4 linked regions of the Neurospora crassa OR74A genome follow. The protein of the gene in region 3 interacts with the protein of the main gene of each other region in a biochemical or structural test. Links are inferred from orthologs where the notes say so. Each region holds a gene or a part of one and is shown on either strand. Other genes may lie near its edges.

Evidence for each region. The genes of interacting proteins can lie anywhere in the genome.
Region 1: the proteins of NCU02978 (region 3) and NCU02510 form a complex in vitro, tested with the Saccharomyces cerevisiae proteins (2 studies listed by BioGRID). The link is inferred for Neurospora crassa OR74A from reciprocal best matches to the Saccharomyces cerevisiae genes SLA1 and CHC1.
Region 2: the proteins of NCU02978 (region 3) and eat-2 form a complex in vitro, tested with the Saccharomyces cerevisiae proteins (2 studies listed by BioGRID). The link is inferred for Neurospora crassa OR74A from reciprocal best matches to the Saccharomyces cerevisiae genes SLA1 and SLA2.
Region 4: the proteins of NCU02978 (region 3) and NCU07438 form a complex in vitro, tested with the Saccharomyces cerevisiae proteins (2 studies listed by BioGRID, with this or other methods). The link is inferred for Neurospora crassa OR74A from reciprocal best matches to the Saccharomyces cerevisiae genes SLA1 and LAS17.

What each region holds. Positions count from the first base shown.
Region 1 is NC_026501.1:2,560,637-2,566,791, reverse strand, and holds the start of NCU02510 (clathrin heavy chain), read left to right. Parts: upstream 1-1,313; 5' UTR 1,314-1,913; coding exon 1,914-2,003; intron 2,004-2,093; coding exon 2,094-6,155. Other genes in the region: NCU02511 (S-adenosylmethionine-dependent methyltransferase superfamily domain-containing protein), read right to left, coding at 1-693. UniProt on the Saccharomyces cerevisiae protein: Clathrin is the major protein of the polyhedral coat of coated pits and vesicles. In yeast, it is involved in the retention of proteins in an intracellular membrane compartment, presumably the trans-Golgi.
Region 2 is NC_026501.1:1,866,010-1,870,204, forward strand, and holds the end of eat-2 (cytoskeleton assembly control protein Sla2), read right to left. Parts: coding exon 3,283-4,195; intron 3,181-3,282; coding exon 3,088-3,180; 3' UTR 2,543-3,087; downstream 1-2,542. Other genes in the region: NCU01957 (AR2), read right to left, coding at 79-502, 582-1,085, 1,161-1,201. UniProt on the Saccharomyces cerevisiae protein: Required for cellular morphogenesis and polarization of the cortical cytoskeleton. It might act in concert with proteins such as CDC42 and CDC43 to limit the region of cortical patch formation to the cortex of the bud.
Region 3 is NC_026501.1:8,518,136-8,526,427, forward strand, and holds NCU02978 (cytoskeleton assembly control protein SLA1p), read left to right. Parts: upstream 1-3,245; coding exon 3,246-3,443; intron 3,444-3,584; coding exon 3,585-5,028; intron 5,029-5,090; coding exon 5,091-6,929; intron 6,930-6,996; coding exon 6,997-7,022; 3' UTR 7,023-7,479; downstream 7,480-8,292. Other genes in the region: NCU02979 (AMP deaminase), read left to right, coding at 1-836, 896-1,286. UniProt on the Saccharomyces cerevisiae protein: Component of the PAN1 actin cytoskeleton-regulatory complex required for the internalization of endosomes during actin-coupled endocytosis. The complex links the site of endocytosis to the cell membrane-associated actin cytoskeleton.
Region 4 is NC_026501.1:624,949-631,193, forward strand, and holds NCU07438 (WASP-like protein las17p), read left to right. Parts: upstream 1-1,403; 5' UTR 1,404-1,625; intron 1,626-1,804; 5' UTR 1,805-2,204; coding exon 2,205-2,414; intron 2,415-2,470; coding exon 2,471-4,139; intron 4,140-4,216; coding exon 4,217-4,248; 3' UTR 4,249-4,639; downstream 4,640-6,245. Other genes in the region: NCU07439 (hypothetical protein), read left to right, coding at 424-495, 578-739; NCU07437 (eukaryotic translation initiation factor 1A), read right to left, coding at 6,147-6,245.

The DNA of each region.
Region 1 (6,155 bases), about 6.0 Mb from region 3:
GTTGGTCTGGAGCGCCTCGTCGCGCAATTCGGCCTCGTTCTCCTCTGCTTCCTTCTCTCTTTGCATATCCAATTTCCTCGAAAGACCCTCGATGTTGGCGGCTGTGAGCTTCTCCTCTCTATCCTCTTCGTCATCCTCATCGTCAGAGAAGACGAATGCCTCCTTCTTGGTAGCACCGTCCTGGTCGGAATCGTAAACCGAGTCGTCGTCAGTGCCGAGGAAATCGTCTCCTAGCTTTTGAACGTCCATCTCATCGCCGTCGATATCAAGGCCCTCCAGGTCGGACGCGCCAAACTCGTCGTCCATCTCCTCGTCATGATCGGGCGAAGGCTGCTTTGCCTTCTTAGGCTTCTTGGACTCCTTGGACCTGTGGGCGGGCTTTGTGCCAGTCTTCTTCACCTCCTTGACCTCTTTCTTGGCGCCCTTGACTGCGACAGTGTTGGAGCCGGATGTCTTGGGCTGCTTCTTGACAATCTTCTGCTTCTTGGATCTTCTAGTGTCGACTTCGGTCGTGGTTTCGTCAAAGGGAATGCCCTTCTTGCGCTTGAGGTTGGCGAAGTGCTCCTCCGAGAGGGGCTCAGGAGGGCCCTGTTTCTGCATGCGACGTCCGACACCCATTTTGATGGTATTGCTGGTCGTCTGGTGGTGATTGGGATGTTGTTGGGGTTGGTTTGAACACTGATAGCCCACCATCGACAGGCGCTTGTGGATATTTCTCCGGGTCGATTTTCTTTTCTGAAAAAGCTTATCGATAGCAATGCCAAGTCTCTTTCCTCAAATCGGGTTCCACCTCACTGCGGTCCCAAAAGGTGAGCCATTGGTCAGTGCCCCACATTAGTCAAGCTGGGCCAAGTTCGGAATCCCTGTAGCAACAGCTGACGCTACCCCTGGAGCTGGGCTGTTCTGGAGTAGGGAACAGCTGCCCCTGGAGCCCGGCATGAACGGCGCCCCCGGAGGCAGGCGGCCTGGAGGTATAAGGTACCTAGAGGTAGGAAATGGAAGGACCGTCTGACGGACCTCGCAGGAGAGGCGATCAATGCGGGCAAAGGAAAGTAGAAGGATGACGGGATGAGGGCGGGCAACCTGGACCGGGCGGACAGCTTGAAGCGAAGGGGGCAGGCAGGCCTCCCGGGCAGGCGCCTGCCGCCTGGTCTAGGCGCACCCGACGCAGGGGGAAGCACTGAATGGAGCCGGCGCCGGTGGGCGGTGGACGCCCCGGCCGCGAGGTCCCGTGTTAACACATCACTCAAAAGCAGGCAGGTAACCTGAGAGGTACTAGAGGTACCTTCCGTCTGCGCTGAACAGTTGCGGCATGTACAAACACACTGGACAGCTGGAGAGGCATCTCACCTCAGCACCTTCCATCTTTCCTGCTGTATCTTTCATCTCTCACGGTACTAACTTCCCGTAACAAACGACGTCTCCTCTTGCTGCTTTGCATCCTTCAACAACCGCGATTCTTCTCTATTCTTTCTGCTGGAGCATTGAAGTGAGGTGACATCGAGGTACCTGCTCGCCTTTACTTTACGTATCTGTAACTGAGCGGCAAATCGCGACTCACCTCTCACCCACAGTTTGGCGGCGGGTTTTACTGCGTACCTGCCTTCTGGACCTTGCGTTAATCCTTCCACCTCCAACCTCCTACCTACCTCTACCTACCTGATTCATCCGTCCTCTTTCCCCCTCCCCATTTCTCGGGAGCTCGGTCATTTTCCCCCCAAAGTACAACCAACCACCACCACCACCGCCTCCTTTCACGTCGCCGCCATTCCATTCAGTCCACGGAGCTTCACGAGCCTCCATTTCCCCAATCTTTCTACTTCCCAGCGGATTCACCTTCCAGCCGCTTTTGATAAGTTGGCTGCTAATCTTCGTCACTCTGCGCGCAGCTTAGCGCAACACCACCGCCCATCATGGCTCAGGCCCTACCCATCAAATTCCAGGAGCTGCTGCAACTCAGCGCCCTCGGCATCAACCAGACTGCCATCACTTTCAATACCTGTGTACGTTGTCCTCACCTTGCTCTGACTCTGCTAGTGACAGTTGTCGCGCCTCCTCTGGCACCCCTGCTGACGTGAACCCCCCGCTCCCAGACTCTAGAATCGGACAACTGGGTGTGTATTCGCGACAAGAAGGACGAGGCAGCGTCCCCTGAAGTCATCATCGTCGATCTCAAGAACGGCAATAATGTTATCCGACGTCCCATCAAGGCCGACAGTGCCATAATGCACTGGACGCGCCAAGTAATTGCCCTCAAGGCCCAGGCGCGCACACTCCAGATTTTCGACCTCGAAAACAAGGCCAAGCTCAAGTCGACAAACATGAGCGAGGATGTCTTGTTCTGGAAGTGGGTTAGCGAGACCACGCTTGGCTTGATCACAGATGGCTCTGTTTACCATTGGGATGTCTTCGACCCGAACCAGCCCGCTCCGGTCAAGGTCTTCGATCGTAATGCTAATCTCCAGGGCAACCAAATAATTAATTATCGGACCAGCGCCGACGGAAAGTGGATGGTTGTTGTCGGTATCTCACAACAGCAGGGCCGCGTTGTTGGCGCCATGCAGCTCTATTCCAAAGACCGCGGTATCAGCCAGGCTATTGAGGGTCATGCCGCTGCTTTTGGCACCCTCCGACTAGAGGGCGCCCCGGAGGACACCAAGGTGTTTACCTTTGCGGTCCGCACCGCCGTCGGCGCGAAGCTCCACATTGTCGAGGTCGACCATCCCGAAACAAACCCCGTCTTCCCCAAGAAGGCCGTGGACGTCTTCTTCCCTCCCGAGGCCAGCAATGACTTCCCCGTCGCCCTCCAGGTTTCGCAAAAGTACGGCATCATCTACCTTATCACCAAGTACGGTTTCATCCACCTCTACGACCTCGAGACTGCCACATGTATCTTCATGAACCGCATCTCAAGCGATACTATCTTCACTGCTTGCGGTGACAAGGATTCGACCGGCGTCATTGGCATCAACCGCAAGGGACAGGTTCTCTTCGTCAGCGCCGATGAGAACACAATCGTTCCTTACGTCCTTGAGGCACACGGCAATGAGCTCGCTATCAAGTTGGCTTCTCGTGCAGGGCTCCCAGGCGCCGATAACCTCTACCAGCAACGCTTCGAGCAACTCTTCAGCAATGGCAACTACCAAGAGGCCGCCAAGGTGGCTGCCAACTCTCCTCGAGGTTTCCTTCGCACTCCTCAGACCATCGAGCGCTTCAAGCGTCTTCCACAGCAGCCTGGACAGATGTCGCATATCTTGCAGTACTTTGGTATGCTTCTAGACAAGGGTTCGCTGAACGAGCATGAGACCATTGAGCTTGCCCAACCCGTTCTCGCTCAGAACCGCAAACAGCTATTGCAGAAGTGGCTCAGCGAGAACAAGCTCGAGTGCTCTGAGAGACTTGGTGACATGGTCCGGCCCCACGACATTAACATGGCGCTTGCCATCTATTTGAAGGCCAACGCTCCTCACAAGGTTGTTGCTGGGTTTGCCGAGACTGGCCAGTTTGAGAAGATTCTGCCCTACTGCGGTCAAGCCAACTACCAGCCTGACTTTATTCAGCTTCTCCACCACATTGTCCGTGTCAATGCTGAGAAGGGTGCCGAGTTTGCCACGACGCTTGCCAATCACGAAGGCGGCCCGCTGGTCGACTTCGAGAAGGTGGTTGACATCTTCCAGTCTCAAGGAATGATCCAGCAAGCAACTGCTTTCCTTCTTGACGCTCTGAAGGATAACAAGCCCGAGCATGCCCACCTTCAGACTCGTCTATTGGAGATGAACCTCGTCAACGCCCCCCAGGTTGCTGACGCCATTCTTGGCAACGACATGTTCTCCCACTTTGACAAGGCGCACATTGCGAACCTCTGCGAGCAAGCAGGTCTTTTGCAGAAGGCCCTGGAGCTCTATGAGGATCCTGCGTCCATCAAGCGGGTTATTGTCAACATCCCTGGAATGCCTAACTACAACCCCGAGTGGTTGATTGAGTATTTCAAGGCGCTGTCTGTTGAGCAATCGCTTGACTGCCTGGACGCCATGATGAAGCACAATATTCGCCAGAATCTCCAGACTGTCGTTCAAGTCGCAACCAAGTATGCGGAGCTCCTCGGCGCGCAGCAATTGATTGATCTCTTTGAGAAGTACAAGACTGCTGAAGGTCTTTACTACTTCCTTGCCAGTGTCGTCAATGTCACCGAGGACCCCGAAGTCGTATTCAAGTACATTGAGGCTGCCACCAAGATGGGACAAATTCGCGAGGTTGAGCGTATCTGCCGCGACAACAGCGTTTACAACCCCGAGAAGGTGAAGAACTTCCTCAAGGAGGCCAAGCTCAGCGAGATGCTTCCTTTGATGGTTGTCTGCGATCGCTTCAACTTTGTTCATGACCTGGTTCTCTACCTGTACCAGCACCAGCAGTTCAAGTCCATTGAGATTTACGTGCAGCAGGTCAACCCGAGCAGGACTCCTGGTGTCATCGGAGGACTGCTCGATGTGGACTGTGATGAAAGCATCATCAGGAATCTCCTAAGCACGGTCAACCCCGCATCTATCCCTATCGATGAGCTGGTGCAGGAGGTTGAGACTCGTAACCGCCTTAAGCTACTCCTGCCCTTCCTGGAGGCTACCCTCGCTGCCGGTAACCAGCAGCAGGCTGTTTACAACGCTCTCGCCAAGATATACATTGACTCCAACAACAACCCAGAGAAGTTCCTCAAGGAGAACGATCAGTATGATACCCTCACTGTTGGAAAGTACTGCGAGAAGCGTGATCCCAACTTGGCCTATATTGCCTATCGCAAGGGCCAGAATGATCTCGAACTCGTGAACATCACCAACGAGAACCAGATGTACAAGGCTCAGGCGAGGTATCTTTTGGAGCGCGCTGATAGGGAACTTTGGATGTTTGTGCTCAGCGAGAACAACGTTCACCGCCGTTCTGTCGTAGACCAAGTCATCTCGACGGCCGTTCCTGAGTCGACTGATCCCGCCAAGGTTTCCGAGGCTGTTACGTGCTTCCTGAACGCCGACTTGCCTGGCGAGCTTATTGAGCTGCTGGAGAAGATTGTCCTGGAGCCGTCGCCTTTCAGCGACAACCAGAACCTGCAGAACTTGCTTATCTTCACTGCCGCCAAGGCTGACAAGGCCCGTGTGATGGACTACATTCACAAGCTCGACAACTTCGCCGCCGACGAGATTGCTAATGTTTGTATTGAGGTTGGCCTGCACGAGGAAGCCTTTGAGGTCTACAAGAAGATTGACAACAAGGAGGCCGCTGTCAATGTTCTTGTTGAGCACGTCGTTAGCATTGACCGTGCTCAAGCATACGCCGAGGAGGTTGATATTCCTCAGGTTTGGAGCAAAGTTGCCAAGGCTCAGCTTGATGGTCTCCGCGTCAGCGATTCCATTGAATCTTACATCAAGGCCGAGGATCCGAAGAACTACGAGGAAGTGATCGAGGTTGCCGTTGCTGCTGGAAAGAACGAAGAGCTCATCAAGTACCTCCGTATGGCCCGCAAGACCCTTCGGGAGCCTGTCATTGACACTGCTCTTGCTTTCTGCTACGCCCGCCTCGATCAACTTCCTGAGCTTGAAGAGTTCCTGCGTGCTACCAATGTTGCCAATGTTGAGGAGTCTGGTGACAAGGCGTACGCCGAGGGCTTCTTTGAGGCGGCCAAAATCTTCTACACCAGCATTTCCAACTGGGCTAAGCTGGCCACTACTCTTGTCCACCTGTCCGACTACCAGGCGGCTGTGGACTGCGCCCGCAAGGCCAACAACATCAAGGTGTGGAAGGAGGTCCACGAGGCCTGCGTCAACAAGAAGGAGTTCCGTCTTGCTCAGATTTGCGGTCTCAACCTTATTGTTGATGCTGAGCAACTCCAGGCTCTTGTCAAGCAGTACGAGACAAACGGCTACTTTGATGAGCTCATCAGCTTGCTCGAGCAGGGTCTTGGATTGGAGCGCGCCCACATGGGAATGTTCACCGAGTTGGGTATTGCGCTGTCTAAATACCACCCCGAGCGCCTTATGGAGCACCTCAAACTCTTTTGGAGCAGAATGAACCTCCCCAAGATGATCCGTGCTTGCGAGGAAGCCAACTTGTGGCCTGAGCTGGTCTTCTGCTACTACCACTACGATGAGTTTGACAATGCTGCTCTC
Region 2 (4,195 bases), about 6.7 Mb from region 3:
TTATGTGCCACCCGTCACAAACATCACTACAACCTCCTCGCCAAACACCACGCTCAACGTCACGATCGGCAAAGTGATTCATGGACGAGCACACTTCGCCCCAACGCCATTGTAAGGTGGGGGAGGGTCAGGGTGTTGTACATTTGGGTTCGTCGGAGTTGTGTTTAGGGTTTCCGCAATTGGTAAGGTCCTCGGAAGTCCTTGTTCGTTATTGATCGCTTTCGATACGTAGCAAATGATACAGCCAAACAAATCGAGAGGCCATATTCCAACAAACATCAGAGGTATCAGGCAATATGCTGCGATCCGGGTTCTTTGTTGGTTTTCTGTGTAGTGGGTAAACGTATCGATAGCTCCATTCCAATGAACCCAAATATTTATCGATCGATACCAGAACCACATGTACCCAATGACAACCCATCCAATAATGGCTGGAATGACTGTCTGGGTTGGGAAGTTGTGGTTGTCAACCTCAAGGGCTACTGACTCGGTGATCTTCATCCTAGAATATTTATCAGTATATGAGAAAGGAATTAGAGTGACCGGAAAGTAGAGAGTTGAATAGTAAGCGAGAAACATACCTGGAATACTTGATAGAAATTTTGCCACGCTTGCGGGCAACACCAAGAGAACGGAAACCACGGGTAGCGAACTCAGCAACCTTGTTCTTGTAGGCCTGGTCAACCTCCTCAGAGATGGGGTGGTCCTCCTCGACAGTCTTCAAAACGAGGGGCACCCTTGACGCAAGTGATGCGCTCACCCTGGGGAGACTCGACGACGGCGACGACCTTCTTGGAGACGGGGTCGAAGGGGTGGAACTGGAGAACCTTGTACTTGGAGAGAATGGACTTGGCGCGGGGGTAGTACTTGAGGGACTTGAGGAAAGCCTTGTGACGACGGCGACGACCTTCTTGGAGACGGGGTCGAAGGGGTGGAACTGGAGAACCTTGTACTTGGAGAGAACGGACTTGGCGCGGGGGTAGTACTTGAGGGACTTGAGGAAAGCCTTGTCGATGGTATCAATACCCTTCTTCTTGCGGGAAGCGGCTAAGCAGGCAGTAAGCATGAGATCCTCGGGGTCGACACTATGATATAATCATCAATGTTTGGTTATATGTTGGGAGAAGAATTTGAGAGGGGGGATACAGTAGTTTAAGTACCTGTTGGGAGGGCCCGGGTCGGGTTTCCTATCTGATTGCATTCATCCTTTGTGACCAGTCATCCTTTCTGTACGAGTACCGGTAAAGCTCACTTCTGCAAGTACATAGGTAGGTTGGGAGGTCCGAGGGCACACGGTTTCCAAGTTTAATGCCTACCGTTTACCAGGCGGGATGAATACTAAGGTTGTAATATCATCCTGCCTATACGAGCGAAGCTCACTTCTGCAGGTACATAGGTAGGTTGGGAGGTCCGAGGTTACGGTTGCCAAGTTTGATGCCTACCGTTTACCAGGCGGGATGAATACTAAGGTTGTAATATCATCCTGCCTACACGAGCGAAGCTCACTTCTGCAGGTACATGGGTAGGTTGGGAGGTCCGAGGTTACAATTGCCAAGTTTAATGCCTACCGTTTACTAGGCGGGATAAATAATAAGGTGGCAGTGTCGTCCTGCCTGCACGAGCGAAGCTCACTTCTGCAGTTGCGTAAAGGTAAGCAGGCGCTGGTGCTCGGCAACATCGGTACATACCTAGAGCGTAGAACAGCGCGACATACCAAATACAAACTATCTAAGCTGAGGCTTGATTCGCTTTCATTCGCATATTGACCAATGTAGGTATTGAAGTCTACGTAAGAATCCCAAACCCAAGGACGCTGTAGGCTATACTATATCTCGACCAAGACCCGTAAACGACCTGAAGAGGCTCCCCCCCCAAAAAGTATACCCTTGAATATTTTGCTGCAGGTCCCAACCTATAAACGCCATGGAAGAATGCAATTGCTTGCCCAACGCAGCCCCACGCTGCCCTGCTCTCCCATACATCTCTTCTTATTGTACAGCTCATGGACATCACAACCATCTGCCCGCAGCAAACACCAGCGGATCCAATACTTGGCACTGGTACATCCAATTACCCGTCATCCAAGCTATTGGTTGGTACGACAACGACGACTCCGCAGGAGCACTTTAATAGCATAACAACGTGAACGCCAACCGACCGGAGAGGGAAGCAGGAGAGTGTGATGGTTCGACTTTAGCTTGGCCTGCCAGAATGGGAAGAACTAGGAAATGCAAGTCAAGAGGGAGACAGAGACCAGACTTTCAAGCTGACGTGGGGAACGAAAAGAAAAAGAGAAAACAGCATAATGGACCAGGCGATAGGAAGGAAACGGAACTTGAACTCCCTCCACCAGAGATTTTCTCGTTCTGAATCTTGCTGCACGAACGAAAGCAGCCACCGATGACGAGACAACGAACGGGCTGCGACAAAAAAGCGAAGAGAGGGAGTGAAATGGGCCGTATAAGCAGACGTAGGGAAATTGGACAGCCGAGGGCTGAAGGACTGACGTGACAGGGGAAGGGGAAGAGGAGGCGGAAAAGGGGTGATATTCAGCAGCACAAAGCACGAAATTTGGTCGCCTACTCACTCTTGACGTATCTGGTAAACTTTCTGGCAGACCGACCGATCGAGCGAGCAGCGAGCAGCGAACGCGAAAATCGAAACCACAAAAAAAGGATGTACATCGCCATAAAAGAAACACGACGGATGCCAGCAGTATGACAGCGGGAGTGGCGGTTTGCCTGTGTTACCAAACACCCGCGCGAAGAGCGAACGGAACATATCCGAGGCCGAAGTTACGACGGCCAATTGACGACTTCAGTGGATGAAAAAGAACAAGGTGGATGAAACTGAGTTTAACACTAACACCTGATGACTCCCAAAGGAATTCGAGCTAGGTACAGAGGGGGTAGTTGAAATATAAAACATCTGATGAAGATTTTGGAAGACGCTGCGGGACGAAAACAGAATGAGGGAGGGGATCTGGTCGGATGCATGTGCCCACGCTGCGCATTGAAGCGTAAAGCCAGCGAGATGAATGAAGCCACCGAGTATACTACCTCAACAACCCCATGTGTTGCGGGACAATCAGTCCTCATCCTGTTGGTACGAAATCTTGCGCATCTCGCCAAGTCTGTGGCGAGCAGCATTCAATGCGTTTTCGAGTTGAAGGATTTCGACCTGTGATGGGGAGAGAATGAATTGGTCAGCAATGAACCATAATAGGCAAGACCAAGGGTACCGGAAATGAAAGAGGAAGGAAATCTCGAAGGAATCACGTACCTGTTGCTCCATCTCGCGCACCTTGAACTCGTGCGACCCAAGCTTGCTGTAGTCCACTTGCTCATCCTCGGCACTGCGGTCCTTGATCATGCTCTGGACTTGTCTGACGAGCGCACGGCAGGCGGCACCGACAGCCTTGCTGGCCTCCTCCAGGCTCTCCTGGTTCTTGCTCATGAAGCCGGCCTTCACACGGCTGGCAGCCACGAGCTGGGCGGTGGAGGCCGCAACATTATTAGATGCAACGATGAGCTGCTCAGGGCTGTTGCGGTTGGAAAGAACACCGTCAGCAGTCTCGATGAGAGTGCTGGTAGAGTTGGCAACAGCCTTGGCGGCGGAAATAAGACCCTCGGTCCATCTGTTGTTCTTCTTGTAAAAGGCGGTGCGCGAAGACGAGCCACGACCAGCTTGCACAATCTCCTGCTGTGTAGCGGTGGCAGCCTTGATGAGCTGCGCGATAGCGGTGGTAATGGCCATGGCGGCATCGAGGATTGAGTCGTGGACCTTGAGTTCGTAGGTAGTATATCCATCGCGAGGTTTGTTCTTGAGCTTCTGCAAACGGGCAACGGCAGCAGCAATGGCATCGGCTGCCCTGCTGAGTTCTTGATCGACGATGTCGCCAAGGTCACCCTTGTTAGCGAGCTGGCCAAAGCCAGGAGCGAAGGTCTCGACAAGCTTGTTCAGCTTTTGCAGGTTGATCTGGACATCGTTATTGCTGTTGATGACAACGTCGGTCTTCTGAAGTGGATCCATGCCCTCAAGGCGGAAGCTCAACAGACCACGGAAGAACTTGACTGTCGAATGGGCAGATGAACGAGCACCGTTGATCAAAGAGTCTCCCTTCTTCTCGTCAGTAGCGAGGCGAACGAGACCCTTGGTGTTACTGCACACATCAGCGATGGCGCCGGCGAAAACG
Region 3 (8,292 bases):
ATTCCTCGCCTTTACGATGTCTACAAAGCTAGTGGCGGCGTAAACACGTTTGAGGAAATTGTCAGGAACATCTTCGAGCCCTTGTTCGAGGTCACTAAGGATCCCTCCAGCCACCCCAAGCTGCACATCTTCCTGCAGAGAGTCATTGGTTTGGACAGTGTCGACGATGAAAGCAAGGTCGAGCGACGACTGTTCAGGAAGTTCCCCGTCCCTAAGATTTGGGACGGCAAGCAGAACCCTCCTTACAGCTACTGGATCTATTACCTGTATGCGAACATGGCCTCGCTTAACCATTGGCGCAAGAGGCGTGGGTTCAACACTTTTGTCCTCCGTCCCCATTGCGGTGAAGCGGGTGACAGCGAGCATCTTGCCGTCGCTGCTCTGTGCTGCCACAGCATCAGCCACGGTCTTCTCTTGCGCAAGGTTCCTGTCTTGCAATACGTCTTTTACCTTGAAAAAATTGGTATTGCCATGTCGCCATTGAGCAACAACGCGTTGTTCTTGGCATACGAGAGAAACCCGATGCACCAATACTTCAAGCGTGGCCTCAACGTGTCGCTCTCCACGGATGATCCTCTCCAGTTTGCGTTCACCAAGGAGCCGCTTATCGAGGAGTATGCGGTGGCGGCGCAGATCTACAAGCTCAGCCCCGTGGATATGTGCGAGCTTGCAAAGAACTCTGTGAAGCAGAGTGGTTACGAGCGTTCGATCAAGGAGCAGTGGCTGGGCAAGAACTTTGACTTACCAGGAGCCCAGGGCAATACCATGGTCAAGACCAACGTGCCTGACCGCAGAGAGGAGTTCCGCTATAGAACTCTACTTGAGGAAAGGGGAATGTAAGTTTATGTACTTCCGTCGACCCTGTGGACGACTGCTGACAAGTGAATAAATACAGGGTTGAAAGATACAATGCCCTCGCAGCCGAATCGGCGGCAGCTGTTGCCCAAGCAGCCCCCAAATCTCCGGCGCCGCCTGCGAAGGCTATCATTGGGGAGGCGAAGACACCGCTCAACACCAGCACTTTGCAGCCCGCTCCGCACGGGGGAAACGACTCCCTTTCACAGTCCCAGACCCTTCCCAGCCCCATGCAGCAGTCGCCTCAGCTGGGACTCCCCAGTGCCGCGCTCGAAGGAACAGGAACCGCCACTGGTCTCACCGACTCGATGAGGGAGCTGCATCTCCCCGAGCACGAACCTAGGTATTTCCCCGGGGTGATGTCGCGCAGCCAGGGGCGCAAGACCAGCACCCGACAGAGTTCGTTGCATGAGAGCGATGCTAAGCCGTAGGTGGCTGACATCACCTCATCTGGAGAATTCGTCGGCGAGGTGGAGATGATGAGAAGGAAGGACACACCGAGCGTGATTGTGATGGAGGATTATATGGAGGACATGCAGCCTCCAGAAGCTACGGTGGGGATGGCGCAGGAGGTGGGGAGTACGCCTGTGCAAGACTGTCCTGACTGTTTGGAGGTGGTATGTGAGTGAGTGAGTGAGTGAAGGGCATCTTCGTTGAAGATATTAGACATTGGGCCATTCTGGGTCTGGACTGGCTGGGTAATGCAAGTGGTACTGGTATCTGGAGTCATGCTATATAGACTTGACAGAATATTGAACCGAGTTCAGAGGGTGATTCGATCGATATAGGTATAATCTACGTTGAACTGGCGTTTAGACTTTTGGTCAGGGTATCTCCACCAAGAAAAAGGGGGTCGACAATAGTTGCTACTAGCTTGTATTGATGATTACGTTACCGTACGCGAGGGAGTTACGACGAAACAAATGCAATTCAGGGGGCGTATAAATAACATCGACACCCGCTGAACGGCTCCCATGCCCAGCGGACCCCGACCTGAAATGAACGATCCACCAAGCGCCCAAATGTCAAGAGGGAAAACCCGGGATATGACGCTATCTACACGTGCGGTTACAGTAGATCGCTGATGAATGCCCGGGTTTGCCGGTCGGGACCAGCTGGCTGCTGTTTCTTGATTGATTGATGGGAAAGTTGGGCGTGAAGAAGAGCCCAAGTTGACTGTCACAATTAAGCCACAATTACGGCCAATCAATAGATACTGTGTAACAAAGTGAAAGTTGCGCTTTCGAGGTACTTATTCAGGTGCTATGCCGTACCAGCAGCGCTCGAGATGCGGCTGGGCTGTGCTTGCTCCTGCACGATCTCACTCTTTCGGGTTCAATTTGGACAAGAATCCTTCGTTCCTGCGCCAGTACCTTGCTTCGATGTTGTTGGTCGGTCATTGGGGTTGACCTGAACCCTCGAAATGCGCTGCGGTTATTCCAAATAAAAGCTAGGTACATACACCTCCAGCGCTGGGAGGTTACGTACCTGTTCTTGGGGTTTCAAATTGTAAGGTACGAACAAGGTGTTCATTTGTCCTCGGGTCAATAGTGCACTTCCTACCTACGCTTGATTTGATCTCGAATGGATTTTCCGTGGACATTGCAATTACATAAATATACATTTTGGTGATAGCATCCATGAAGATCGCGGTGTCTTCGCGACCGCTTCGTTGCATCGTCTAAATTCCCCCAAATTCAGCGAACCCCCCCACCCCCCCGAACACACACCCCCCGGACCGGCTCCTTTAAACGAGCACTTGGGTCCACGACTTGGACATAGAGTAATTTCCAACGTCTCCCTTGGCTCGACCATTTCGACCGCAACTCCAGACTCTTGATCACGATAAAGGTCAAATTCCTCGCAGGGTCACCGCAGCCGCGCGTGCTCGCTGTCGTCGACATCTTCCCGACGTTCCCTCGCTCGAAATTACAGGCTACCTATCCGTAGGTACCATACAGGAGGGCCTTGGCCGGCCGCAATCCTACGCGCAAGCGGGCATACCTACAGTGCTTGCTTCAGCGGCTACCCCTTGCTTCAGGAGCACCCGTACACTCTAGAAGAGCTTCCATCCTCGTTCACCTTCTGCCCGGCAGCCGCAGCGCCGCACCCCCGTCACCCGTCACCAACCCAGCGTCACCCGCTCTCACACGCTGCTGCCGCCGCCGCCGCCGCCGCTCGCTCCTTGATTCCATTTCCTACCGGACACACACACACCCCCCCTTCCCCGGCAGAACCAAGACTTGTGATACCACACCACCAGCCACCATTCGCACCACGGCGCCTTTCGTTTTCCCCAATTCCTTTCTTCGCAACAGCAACTCCCTTGCGTCGGTTCATGTCGGCTGCCATCCAAAGGGCATCATACGAGCAGATTTCCCGCAGCAGCCATGGGCTTCCTCGGCGTCTATAGGGCCATTTACGATTACACGCCCCAGGGCGAGGGCGAGTTGACAATCTCCGAGGGCGACATTCTCTATGTGTTGGAAAAGAGTCAGGAGGACGATTGGTGGAAGGCGAAGAAGAAGGCCAATGCTGCCGACGATGACGAGCCCGTCGGCTTGATCCCCAACAACTACATTGAGGAGGTATGTAATGTGGTCCGAGGTCTAGATCTGGATTGCGTGCAGTGTCATCTGGGCACTTGTACCTGCTTGGAGGATAGCAAGCTGGCTGGCCTTGGCATTCAGATGGATCACTTGAACTGACCGCGCACACCATGACGCCAGGCGAAACCCGTATCATACGCTCGCGCGCTCTACGAGTACACGCGTCAGACCGACGAAGAGCTCTCCTTCCCCGAGGATGCGCAGCTCTCAGTCTTCGACACTTCCGACCCCGATTGGATCCTTGTTGGCCACGATGGCGACTACGGCTTCGCGCCCGCCAACTACATCGAGTTGGGCGATGGCCAGGCTGGCCAGGTCGAGGAGGAGGAAGAAGCGACTGCCCCCCCTCCTCCTCTTCCGCAGAGGACACCCAGCGTCAGCGTCGATGTAGCCAGCCCGCCCCTGCCCGCCAGGAGTGTGCCCTCCGAGCCAAGCACCCCTGTCGCCGCTTCCAACCCTGCTGCCGCCGCCATCGCCGGAGTTATGGCCAACCGCTCTTCTTTCCAACCTCCAGCGCCTATCAGTGTTCCCCAGCCCCAGCGACAGTCATACGCTTCGGAAGATTACGAAAATGAGGTAAGGTCCCCGCCGCTTCCGAGCCGCCCGCGGGGCGATTCGCAAATTGCTCCGGAGCAAAAATCCTACAGACCGGTGCCGCCGCCCGCTCAGTCAGCAGCCCACGACACCGACGACTATGGCATTAGCCCGCGAACCTCCCAGGCTCCTCCTCCTCAGACCGCCGCGCTTACCCCTGGCGGTTTCCACATGTACAACATCAACGAGATGACGTCGGTGATGGGCAAGAAGAAGAAGATGCCTACCACGCTGGGCATCAACCTGAGGACGGGAATGATTCTCATAGCGCCGGAACATTCCCACGACGGTCCATCGCAGGAATGGCGGGCCGATTGCATGACACACTACTCTCGGGAGGGCAAGCACGTGTTTATGGAGCTCGTACGACCAAGCAAGAGCGTTGACTTTCATGCGGGCGCCAAGGACACCGCTGAAGAGATCGTCGCGATGCTGGGCGACATGGCCGGAACTGTGCGCCTCGAGGGACTCAAGGAGATCATTGCCGCGGGAGCCGGAGGCAAGAAGAAGAAGGGTGCTGTGCTGTATGATTTTATGGCTCAGGGTGAGGACGAGGTTACTGTCGGCGTTGGTGATGAGGTAGTTATTCTCGACGATACCAAGAGTGACGAGTGGTGGATGGTGCGTCGCGTCAAGAACGGCAAGGAGGGTGTGGTTCCCAGCAGCTACATTGAGATCAACGGCGTGTGGGAAGAGCCGGAGACGGCCGTTACCGGTATTGCCGTGGGCATGTCGGAAGTCGAGAAGAACCGCCTGGAAGAGGCGCGCTTAACCAAGGAGGCTATCAAGGCTGCCCAGCGCGAGGAAGAGAAGGAGAAGCAGAAGAGGAACTCTGAGGTAGGCCCAGGATTGCAATTGCAAGAACGAAATAGTAGTTTGCCGGCCACAGATGATAACAGGAGAGGAAAACAGCGAAGCAGTAGGCGCGAACCCGGTCAGAACAGCAGCTCCAAGTCGTCAAGCAAGTCGAGTAAGTACACCCATGTCCAGATTTTCTTTCAGAGTATGCAGAATACTGACAGTTTGTCGCAGAGCCCGATCCTTCCAAAGTGCGAACATGGACCGATCGATCCAAGTCCTTCAGCGTTGAGGCCCAGTTCCTCGGTGTCAAGGATGGCAAGATCAGGCTCCACAAGATGAACGGTGTGCAGATCGCCGTGCCCGTCTCGAAGATGTCAGTTGAGGATCTCGAGTACGTGGAGCGCGTAACTGGCGAATCTCTCGACGAAGACAAGCCCCTATCCGATCTTAGGAACAAGCGATCCGCCGGTGAGTCTTCGAGGTCTAGTCGATCGACGCGCGACAGGGAAAGAGACCGTGGTTCCAGCTCCCGGGTTGGCGCCACCATCGATTCCTCGAAGAAGCCCGACTACGACTGGTTTAACTTCTTCCTTGGTTGTGACATACAGGTTGGTTTGTGCGAACGGTATTCTCAAGCTTTCCTGCGGGAGGCTATCGACGAAAGTGTCTTGCCAGATGTTGATGCTACTGTGCTGAGGAACTTGGGCTTGCGTGAAGGTGATATTATCAAGGTCATGCGGTACCTGGACAACAAGTACATGCGGAACAAGAAAGGCGAAGAGGGCGAGGGAGGACTCTTCTCTGGGCCAGGAGGTGCGCTCCGCAACAACACGAAGAAGGGCAGGCCGGCGCCCCCCGTCGAGGTCAGCAACACCGTTGATCCCAACGCTTTCTCTAAGGACTCGGGTGCTGGTAGTGGCAAGTCATCATCTCCTACGGCTGCGGCTACGCCAACACCGTCTGCCTCGAAGCCTTCCAGTGGCTTTGATGATGATGCTTGGGATGTCAAGCCTACCAAGACGAAAACCCCTGAGCCGGCTGCGCAAGCCGTTGCTCCCGCTCCTGCGGCGGCACCCGCTGCCGCTCCAGCCCCTGCTGCGCCAGCTCTGGTTGACGCGCCGGCCCCCCCTCCGCCGGCGGCTCTTACCAAGTCGATGCAGGAGTTGTCGTTGCTTACCCAGCCTTTGGAACCCGAGAAGGTCGCTCCTCCGCCAGTTGTGCAACCGGCCATCACGTTGCCTCCGCCCTCCGCGGCTCCAGCTCCGGCTGCTGCTGCTCCTGCACAGGTCCCTCAGCTTACCGGCGCCACTCCCGGCTTCTTCACCGGTATGCAACCTCCTGCTGTTGGTGCACAGATCCTTCCTCAAAACATTGCCCGTCAAAGACCTCTTGCTCCTCAGTTCACTGCGGCCCCGGGTGGTCTTGTTGCTCCACCTCCATCTCGCCCCCTCTCGGCGCCTCAGTCCGCTCAACCCAGCGCCTTCACGCCACCCCCTATCCAGCCTCAGATGACCGGTTTCCAGGCACCCCAGATTGCTCCTCCTGGCCAGAGCCTCGGCGATCTCGCCCAGCAACGTCTTCAGCAGCAGTACACCGCCCAGATGCAGGCCCAGCAACAACAGATGCAACAGCCTATGATGACGGGCATGCAACCTATGATGACGGGCATGCAGCCCCAGCAGACCGGCTTCGGCCAATTCCCCCCTCAACAACAACCCTTCATGCCCCAGCCTACCGGCTTTGGTATGCAGCAGCAACAACAACCCATGATGACAGGCATGCAGCCCCAGCAAACCGGCTTCGGTCAATTCCCTCAACAACAGCCGCAACCCTTTATGCCCCAGCCGACCGGTTACGGTCACGTCGGTGGTGGACTGCCGCCTCCTCTCCAGCCTCAGGCTACGGGCATGAGCTTCACTCAGGGCTTTGGAAACGGACCCCAGCAGCATCAGCAGCCGTTGGTGCCGCAGCAGACGGGGCCGGCGCCGCCTGTGAGGTTCGGTATTAGTGGTGATGCGAAGAAACTGGCGCCGCAGGCGACGGGGAGGAGAGCCAACTTGGCTGCTGCTAGTAAGTTTTGCCCGCATAAAAGGCATGTCTTGTTGTAGTAAAAGGAAATGTGCTAACAGTTTCCTAGCTCCCGATAACCCGTTCGGTTTCTAAGCTTTCTCCATACAATTCATGTAGGCTTTGTCGGATTCTTGTGAGTGGTTGAGCGTGCAGTGGTTGGGTTTAGTTTTGTTGCTTGGTTGGGGCTGGTTGTTAATAGACTGTGCGGACTACCCAAGAAATGGGTGATGCAGAGCGAGGTGAATCTGGAGTGAAGAAGAGAACTCGGTGAAAGGAAACGCAAATGCGAGCGGAATTGGGAAGGTTGGTTGGTGGTAAGTTCCATGGTGGGAAAGGTACCTAGTGAGGTGTGAGGTGTGGTGCAAAGCATTAGCGAGTTCTCCGAGACAAACAAACACAATTAGACACACGCCGACGAAACAGAAGGAGAAGAGGAAGAAGAGGCAGTAGAAGCAGTAGAAGCAGCAGCAGCACCGCGGATCGCATAGCATCGTTGCAATCTTTTTTTTTATAATAAGATGGATAACTTTTTAATATGATAATTACTAAGATGGATTGTCAAGTTTCGGGTTACCTCCGTCTTCTTGGATGTGAATGAAAACTCTCAAAAGTCCCAACAAAGTTGCCACGTATGTATGTATCAAACGACGGCACTTGCTTCTTCTTCTATTCTTACCATACCGATGGTGGATAAACTTGAACGTATCGTTACGATTGTACTTGATGTGACTGTGACGGCACATCATGCCAGCACATGTCGCAGTACTAAAGATCTTATTTACCTGCCATCTGGTCTTTCAGGTCTTACCTTTTATCCTATTTGGACTGCTGTCATCGCATATCAGAGGCCCTAGATATACACAATTCTTTCTCGTGTAATAGACTGAGTCATCTCGTCTTCCTGCTTCGTCCCTAACTCTAATATTGTATTACTTTCGTCCAGACGTGTTGGACGCACGCATCAACCCACAGTACATGATGTAAAAGTGTAATGATATAGGATCCTCAGTAAGCAATAGGTAGGGACTTGTGGGTTTTTCAATCTAGCTAGGTATTCATCAACATTACTTCACTATAAGACGCACTTCGCCGAGGATACTGAGAGTAAGGAAGGGCCTTGTATCAATCGTCTATTATTCTCATTTACCTATTCTACAAACTACCCTAAATGACCCTAAGCCAATATCATGAGTGCATATCTTAGATATTACCTACCTACCTACCTGCCTACCTACCTACCTACCATACAAAAGCCAATGCATATGACGCTTTGATTGATCCTTGTCCCATTGTTAAAGTAAGAAACGCTTGCAAGACTGATTATATAGAGTAACCTCACTCCGTGAGTCCGCTGGTCAAACCT
Region 4 (6,245 bases), about 7.9 Mb from region 3:
GCGGTCCCTGAGTGGTTCCCTCCAGTCGGAGTCAAGATCCAATGCTCCGTCTTGTCGGTTTGATGCGCTGTTCGTGGGAGGTTTTAGCAGCTGTCATTCAGTGTGCCTGCCGCCGCATACCTACACTAGTAAACGACGCGTGACCACCCCCAGGCGACGTCATTGTCTTACACCCTCTCTTTTAGGCCCCTTGTACGTGGTACGACGACTACAGGTTTCTTCCTATTTATTCCCTTTTGCTCATCCATCGTTTTCTTTTATAAAAGAGACCCTTCTCGACCTTCAAAACCTTCCACTTCTACACCTTACCCATCTTCCTGCAAGACGATATCGAAAAAGTTGATCAAGACTCCTCTCAGTTGTCTCACTACGACCCACTCCTCACGAACCATCAAGACAAGTCATAACATCAAGACCATCACAATGGCCGGCGGCGACGATCTCAGCAAGAAGGAAGTCAACATTCTTCCCCACGACACCCAGAAGGACGAGCAAGTACGTTACCATTTCCTCCCTAGTCTGGTGCCTTGTGTGAATCACAGAAAACAGAAAACTGACTCTTTGGCCAAACAAATAGAAGAACCCCAACAACCCCCTCAACAAGCTCGCTGATAGTGCCAAGGCCACGTTCGAGCAGGCGTCAAAGGCCATGCCCGGTCCCGCCATCTCGCAGAACATCGGCGGCGAGGAGGGCACCAAGGAGGAGCGCAGGGCCAAGGCCGAGACGCTCAACAAGTAAAGATATGGACTCGGACAAACAGGGGAATGGATGGAATGATTGCAATGACTGAATGATACACACACATACACATAACATAATTGAACTGTTTTGACAATTACTCTGATGGATCAGTCCTGTTGGAGCCTAAAGTGACTTTGGTGGTGGAATTGCGCCCAAATGAGAGGGGTCTGGTCCTCGAAAGTTGTCTCAAATGGGAGCAATGTTAGCATGTGAAGGTAGGTAGGTACTTTCATGTCATCCCATGTTCGTACATACCTACACTACTTTCATCCTATATCAACCTGAGCCATATAACCTCCAAATGCACATGGAAGTTGTTGTCATTGCCAGTTTCAACATGTCCCTCAAACACCCAGCTCTCGGAGGAACCGTCTCGTTGGACATCCATCATCACGGCGGGCAAGCGAAAGGTCGGCTGTGCAAGCGGCGGGCGGGAATAGTGGAGGGGTTCAGTTGAGGGATAGGTACCCACTGTTAGTGGACACGGACAATTGACGCCCTATCCACCCCCGGCACAATGTCATGACGCTATCTGGTTCATGTCCACAAGTTGGTCGCTTCCCGTCGGAAATTGGTCATTGTGGCTTGCTGGGGTTTCGTTGCCATCCTGATTCCATTCAGTCAAAGCCAAACAGCCCGGTCGTTGCCGCCGCCGTAGTGATGCAACTCCCAATCCCCGTACATAGTGTAGTTAAGTAGTGTACACTCACTGCATGCCTAAGGAACCTCTTGCCAGGTACACCCGCAATTCAACTTCCTTCTTGTCTACCTTGCAATGGGACTTGCTCCTCTCTCTGTAGTCTGTACAGCTTTAATACATTGAATTTTCACGGCAGATTATAACTAAGCTTGCCAACTGAAGGCTGCTGGATCATTGTCCGAGGTACGTTATTCCCAGCCTGCCGCCGTCTCTTCTACTCAGTATCTGCTTTTGCTCCTTTCAGTCATTGGACATCCGGGCGGCCGAGTCTTCCTTATTCCTCCCACCAACCACCAAACATCCGTGCCTCCAATACCCAGACCTACCTCTAGCTAACCGGCAACTTCCATTGTCTCTTCTAGGCTTCCGTCAACTGCTTTTATTCCTACGCGGCAAGGCCACGGAAGCGCGGAGCTTTACTTTATCTTGTACCGACAAGATACTTGGCCGTCGATAACAAGCGCCAACGACCCGAAAAGCATTAATACGACATCCCACTTCCGACTTGCTACCTCACCCTTCGGTCGACGTTGCCCCCCTCCCCTCGCCGACCGACCCGCCGACCGGATCAAGGCACGACGACTCAGCTTCATAACAGTACCTCTCGGCGCTGCGCCCGCCGGCCGAGTCCTTCTACCGAATTTCCGCATAACGACTCCCAATCTATCCATGCTTTGCTCCCCCTGGACGATCTAAAGGGGACGACAGGCCGCAACCTACCTCAAGCCACTTCCACGCTTCCACCCCCCATATATATTCACGATGCCGTCCATCCTCAGCGACGACGACAAGGAAACGGTCAAGCGCTGCGTGCCCAAGCAGACCAACAAGATCCACGCCGTCGCCGTCGCCAGGCTCTATGTAGCCTACCCCAACCCGTCCAGATGGACCTATACCGGCCTCCAGGGTGCCGTCGTTCTGGCAAATGATCTCGTGGGCAACACATATTGGATCAAGATGGTTGATATCTCGGTAAGTGTGAAAATGACGATTGCGTGGCTGGCCACCATTTGGCTGACATCGGACAGCCCGGAAACAGGGGAGTGATATGGGACCAGGAGATCTTCGACACTTGGAACTACAACCAGGACCGTGTCTTCTTCCATACCTTCGAGCTTGAGGAATGCCTGGCTGGCTTGTCCTTCGTGGACGAGAAGGAAGCCAAGCAGTTCCTCAAGAAGATGAACGACAGGGAAAAGAACGCCAGCAAGGCTACCAGCAAGACACCTTTCGGAGGCGCATCCCAGGCACACCACCACAAGCACCACGGTCTTTTCGGCGGTCTGTTTGGAGGACATAAGCACGCGTCTCCGACAGCCACCCCGCCCGAGTCGCCACGTGCCGCTGCACCGGCAGGCCGTATGAGAGCTGGAAGCACTAATGGAATAAACGGATACAAGCCTCCTTCCGAGTTTGCGACCCTGGATGCTTTCGATCCCCTGTGGAGGGAACACTTCGGTGACGACCTCAAGGCCCAAGGCCTCGACGACGACTTCATCCGCGAAAACCAGGACTTTATCATTGAGTTCTTGAAACAGGAGCAAGCGAAGCAGGGTATACACACGAGCACTCCTCCGCCGCCGCCGCCGCCGCCATCCGCTCCTCCTAATGGTCCCGCAATGAGAGCTCCCCCACCACCTCCTCCTGCTGCTGCTCCGCGCAGTGTCTCCGAGTCGATAACTCCATCGACCTCTAGGAGAGGGCCAGTACCCCCGCCTCCCCCTCCAGCAAGGAGATCCGGCAAGCTCGACACGGAAAACCACCAGGAACCGGCCCCTCCGCCGAGATTTGCTGTTCCTCCTCCCATCGCCGATGCTGGCAAGTTTGCCCACTCTGATCCCCCGCGACATACGCCCTCTGCGCCTGGACCTCCACCACCTCCCCGGCCGCCGAAGACGCCACTCGAAGATCAGGACCCGAGCCAGAGGTTCAGCGTTCCTCCGCCATTCACAGGCCAACGAAGTGTACCCCCGCCGCCTCCCAGCCGTAGCTCTGTTCCTCCGCCACCGCCCCCGAGAAATTCAGCTGCGCAACCTCCTCTGCCTCCCAAGGCACCGGGACCAGCACCTCCCCTCCCGCCTGCGAGCTCACGGCCGCCCCCCATGTTGCCAACTAGAAGCCCGGCACCACCGCAGGCACCGCCTCTCCCGACCTCGAACGCGCCACCTCCGCCGCCTTTACCGGCCACCCAGGCGCCTCCACCACCTCCCCTTCCCGCAACCAGCGCGCCTCCTCCGCCACCACCGGCACCGCCAGCACCTCCGGCGCCCCCTCTACCCGCAGCACATGCTCCCCCGCCGCCGCCTCCCATGCCACCCATGCCCGCACCATCAGGCGGCGCACCGCCTCCGCCTCCGCCTCCTCCACCGGGTGGTATGGGTGGTGTCCCTCCCCCTCCTCCTCCCCCTCCTCCAGGTGGTATGCCTCCACCGCCCGCCCCTGCCTTGCCACCTGTTGACGGCAGTCGTTCGGCCGTGTTGGACGGCATCAAGACCGCGGGAGGTATCAGGGCGTTGAAGAAGGTAGACAGAAGCCAGATTCGCGATCGTTCCGGTGCTGCTGTTCCTGGTGGCTCCGATAGTGGGCCCGCAAGCAGTGGATTGCCGCCCGCTGGAGCTGCGCCGGGTGGCGGTGGTGGAATGGCGGATGCGTTGGCGTTGGCGTTGCAGAAGAGAAAGGAGAAGGTTAGCAAGAGTGGTAAGTATCTGGATTATCCCTGGCTTGTGAAGTGTGAGAGCATGTCGAGAATGATGCTAACACTGGTGGAAAAACAGATGATGAAGATGATGGTGATGATTGGGACTAAGTGCCCGATACCAACAATGACACGGTGAAGAGCCACCGGAAAACAACAAGGTTCCAAGTAGGAGAAGAGTGCAAAAGGAATGAAAAGCAAGACTGGAGAGACACCGATATCCAACCATCATCCATTCATCTGGTCGTTATTTGGCCATAGAGGAGATGATGACGGCGAGGATGGGCCGTTGCTGGAACAGGAGGAGGAAGAAGAAGAAGGAGAGGAAGGGGAAGAGGAAAGCTGAGGGGTGGAAGGAAGGAAGGAATGAAAGAAAGGATGCAGTGTCGTTGCATACTATATATATATATATAGCTTCACCGTATTTGGAAATATTCACACCTCGTCACTGGTGTTTAACAAGAAAACAAAAGAAATGCAAAATTATACTTTTTTTTTCCACTTTCAGAAATACTATACCAGCTTTTTATTCTCTGTTTCCCATCTTAACTTGATACTCTTCAAAGACAGCGGCGAGTGCCTGAAGAGGTTTCATTGATATATATGTATCTTGAAGATTACTTACTTACTTACCTACCTACCTAGGACTGTTTGACAGTGTTTTGTATTGGAAAAAAGGAAAATACTCGGTCGCGTGACTACAGTAGTTGCCGCTTTCAACAATTTCAATGTTCCTGAGTCCCGAGTTTCTTATGCTGCTGCTTTCCGAGAGCTACCTACGGACCAGTAATTACTTCGTCACTTGGGTTTGGTTTAGTCTCATAGAAACAATTTGAATAAGGGGGAGACGGACAGCTCCGAAACATCGTAGAAGAAGTGTTGGTCATATATCGAACAACTGGACCAGGATAAGCATAAATAGTGAAGAGTAGGACATCTCGGCGGTTCTCTTCTAGTGAGGTTGATGGAATGTTGTTACAAGCAAGACTTTTACTGGGCGGTGCGGGCGGGTCTTGCAAGGAGCAAGAAGAGGAACGAAAAATGATATATGTACATAGCCGGATGGGGACTTGAGCGAGGAGGGGATGAAGAGGTGCTGTTTAACACATGTTGCGTCTTGTCCTCGAGTAGAACAAGGACGTGCTTTGGCTCTTACAGGGTCACATTCCAGTGACCGACAGACACATCTCGCGTGAACCGAGAAGCCTAGTAATGTGTGATCGTACCAAAATACCATTTCCTAGCTCGAGAGAGGGAAAAAAAAAAAGAAAAAGAAACCAGACATGAGAGAGCCCCCTAAAAGAACATAAAAGACGTTTATGACAAAGCCATCCTATCATAAAAACAGCCTAACCCCTTTTAATATCCCAGAGTGCACGTAACCATCCTCTTTTCATTGCGGATGGATCGATGCTCTTTATGTCCTTCGCCCCCCCTTTTTTTAACTTTTTTACTCTGCCAGCCTTCCTCCTTCGTTCTGCCTGGTTGTAGGACCTCGAGTCCCGCAAACCAACTAACCGGACCCAGGTAAATGACGTCCCTCCCACCATTGTACCTGGCTCCGATTCTCCTCCTCCTGATTTTGTTCGTAAGATTTGTTTCTTGTCTTGTTACCGGAAAAACAAGGAAATAATAGGCACACCAAACTGTCGGGGAACCAAACTGGCTGCTGCTGTTAACGGTTATGGTTGATGGGTTGAAAAAAAAACGTGGGCTGGCTGCGTACGGCCGACACACACCGAAAACAGAGACCACCAGAATGGTTTGAGAGAGAAGACAGCTTTTTTGGACTTTCCTGGACGACCCCTTTACTTCCTGGCCAGACCCTTTGGGGATACCGACTTGGAGAGAAGGACGTAAAAGGGAGTGGATAGGAAGAAGGGGGAAGTTGGGAAAGGGTGGCGTTATTTCGCATGTTTCGGTAACAATTTGGTGTTTGTTGCCTCTTTTCCTCTTAGGTGCCGAGAAGAATGAGGCGACGATATGGTGTTGAGAAGGCAACGACACGTTTAGATGTCGTCGATATCAACGGCCTTGCCACCGGCCTCGGCGCCATCCTCCTCCTCGGAGTCACGGTCCTCGTCGAACTCGAAGCCGCAGTCGCCGTC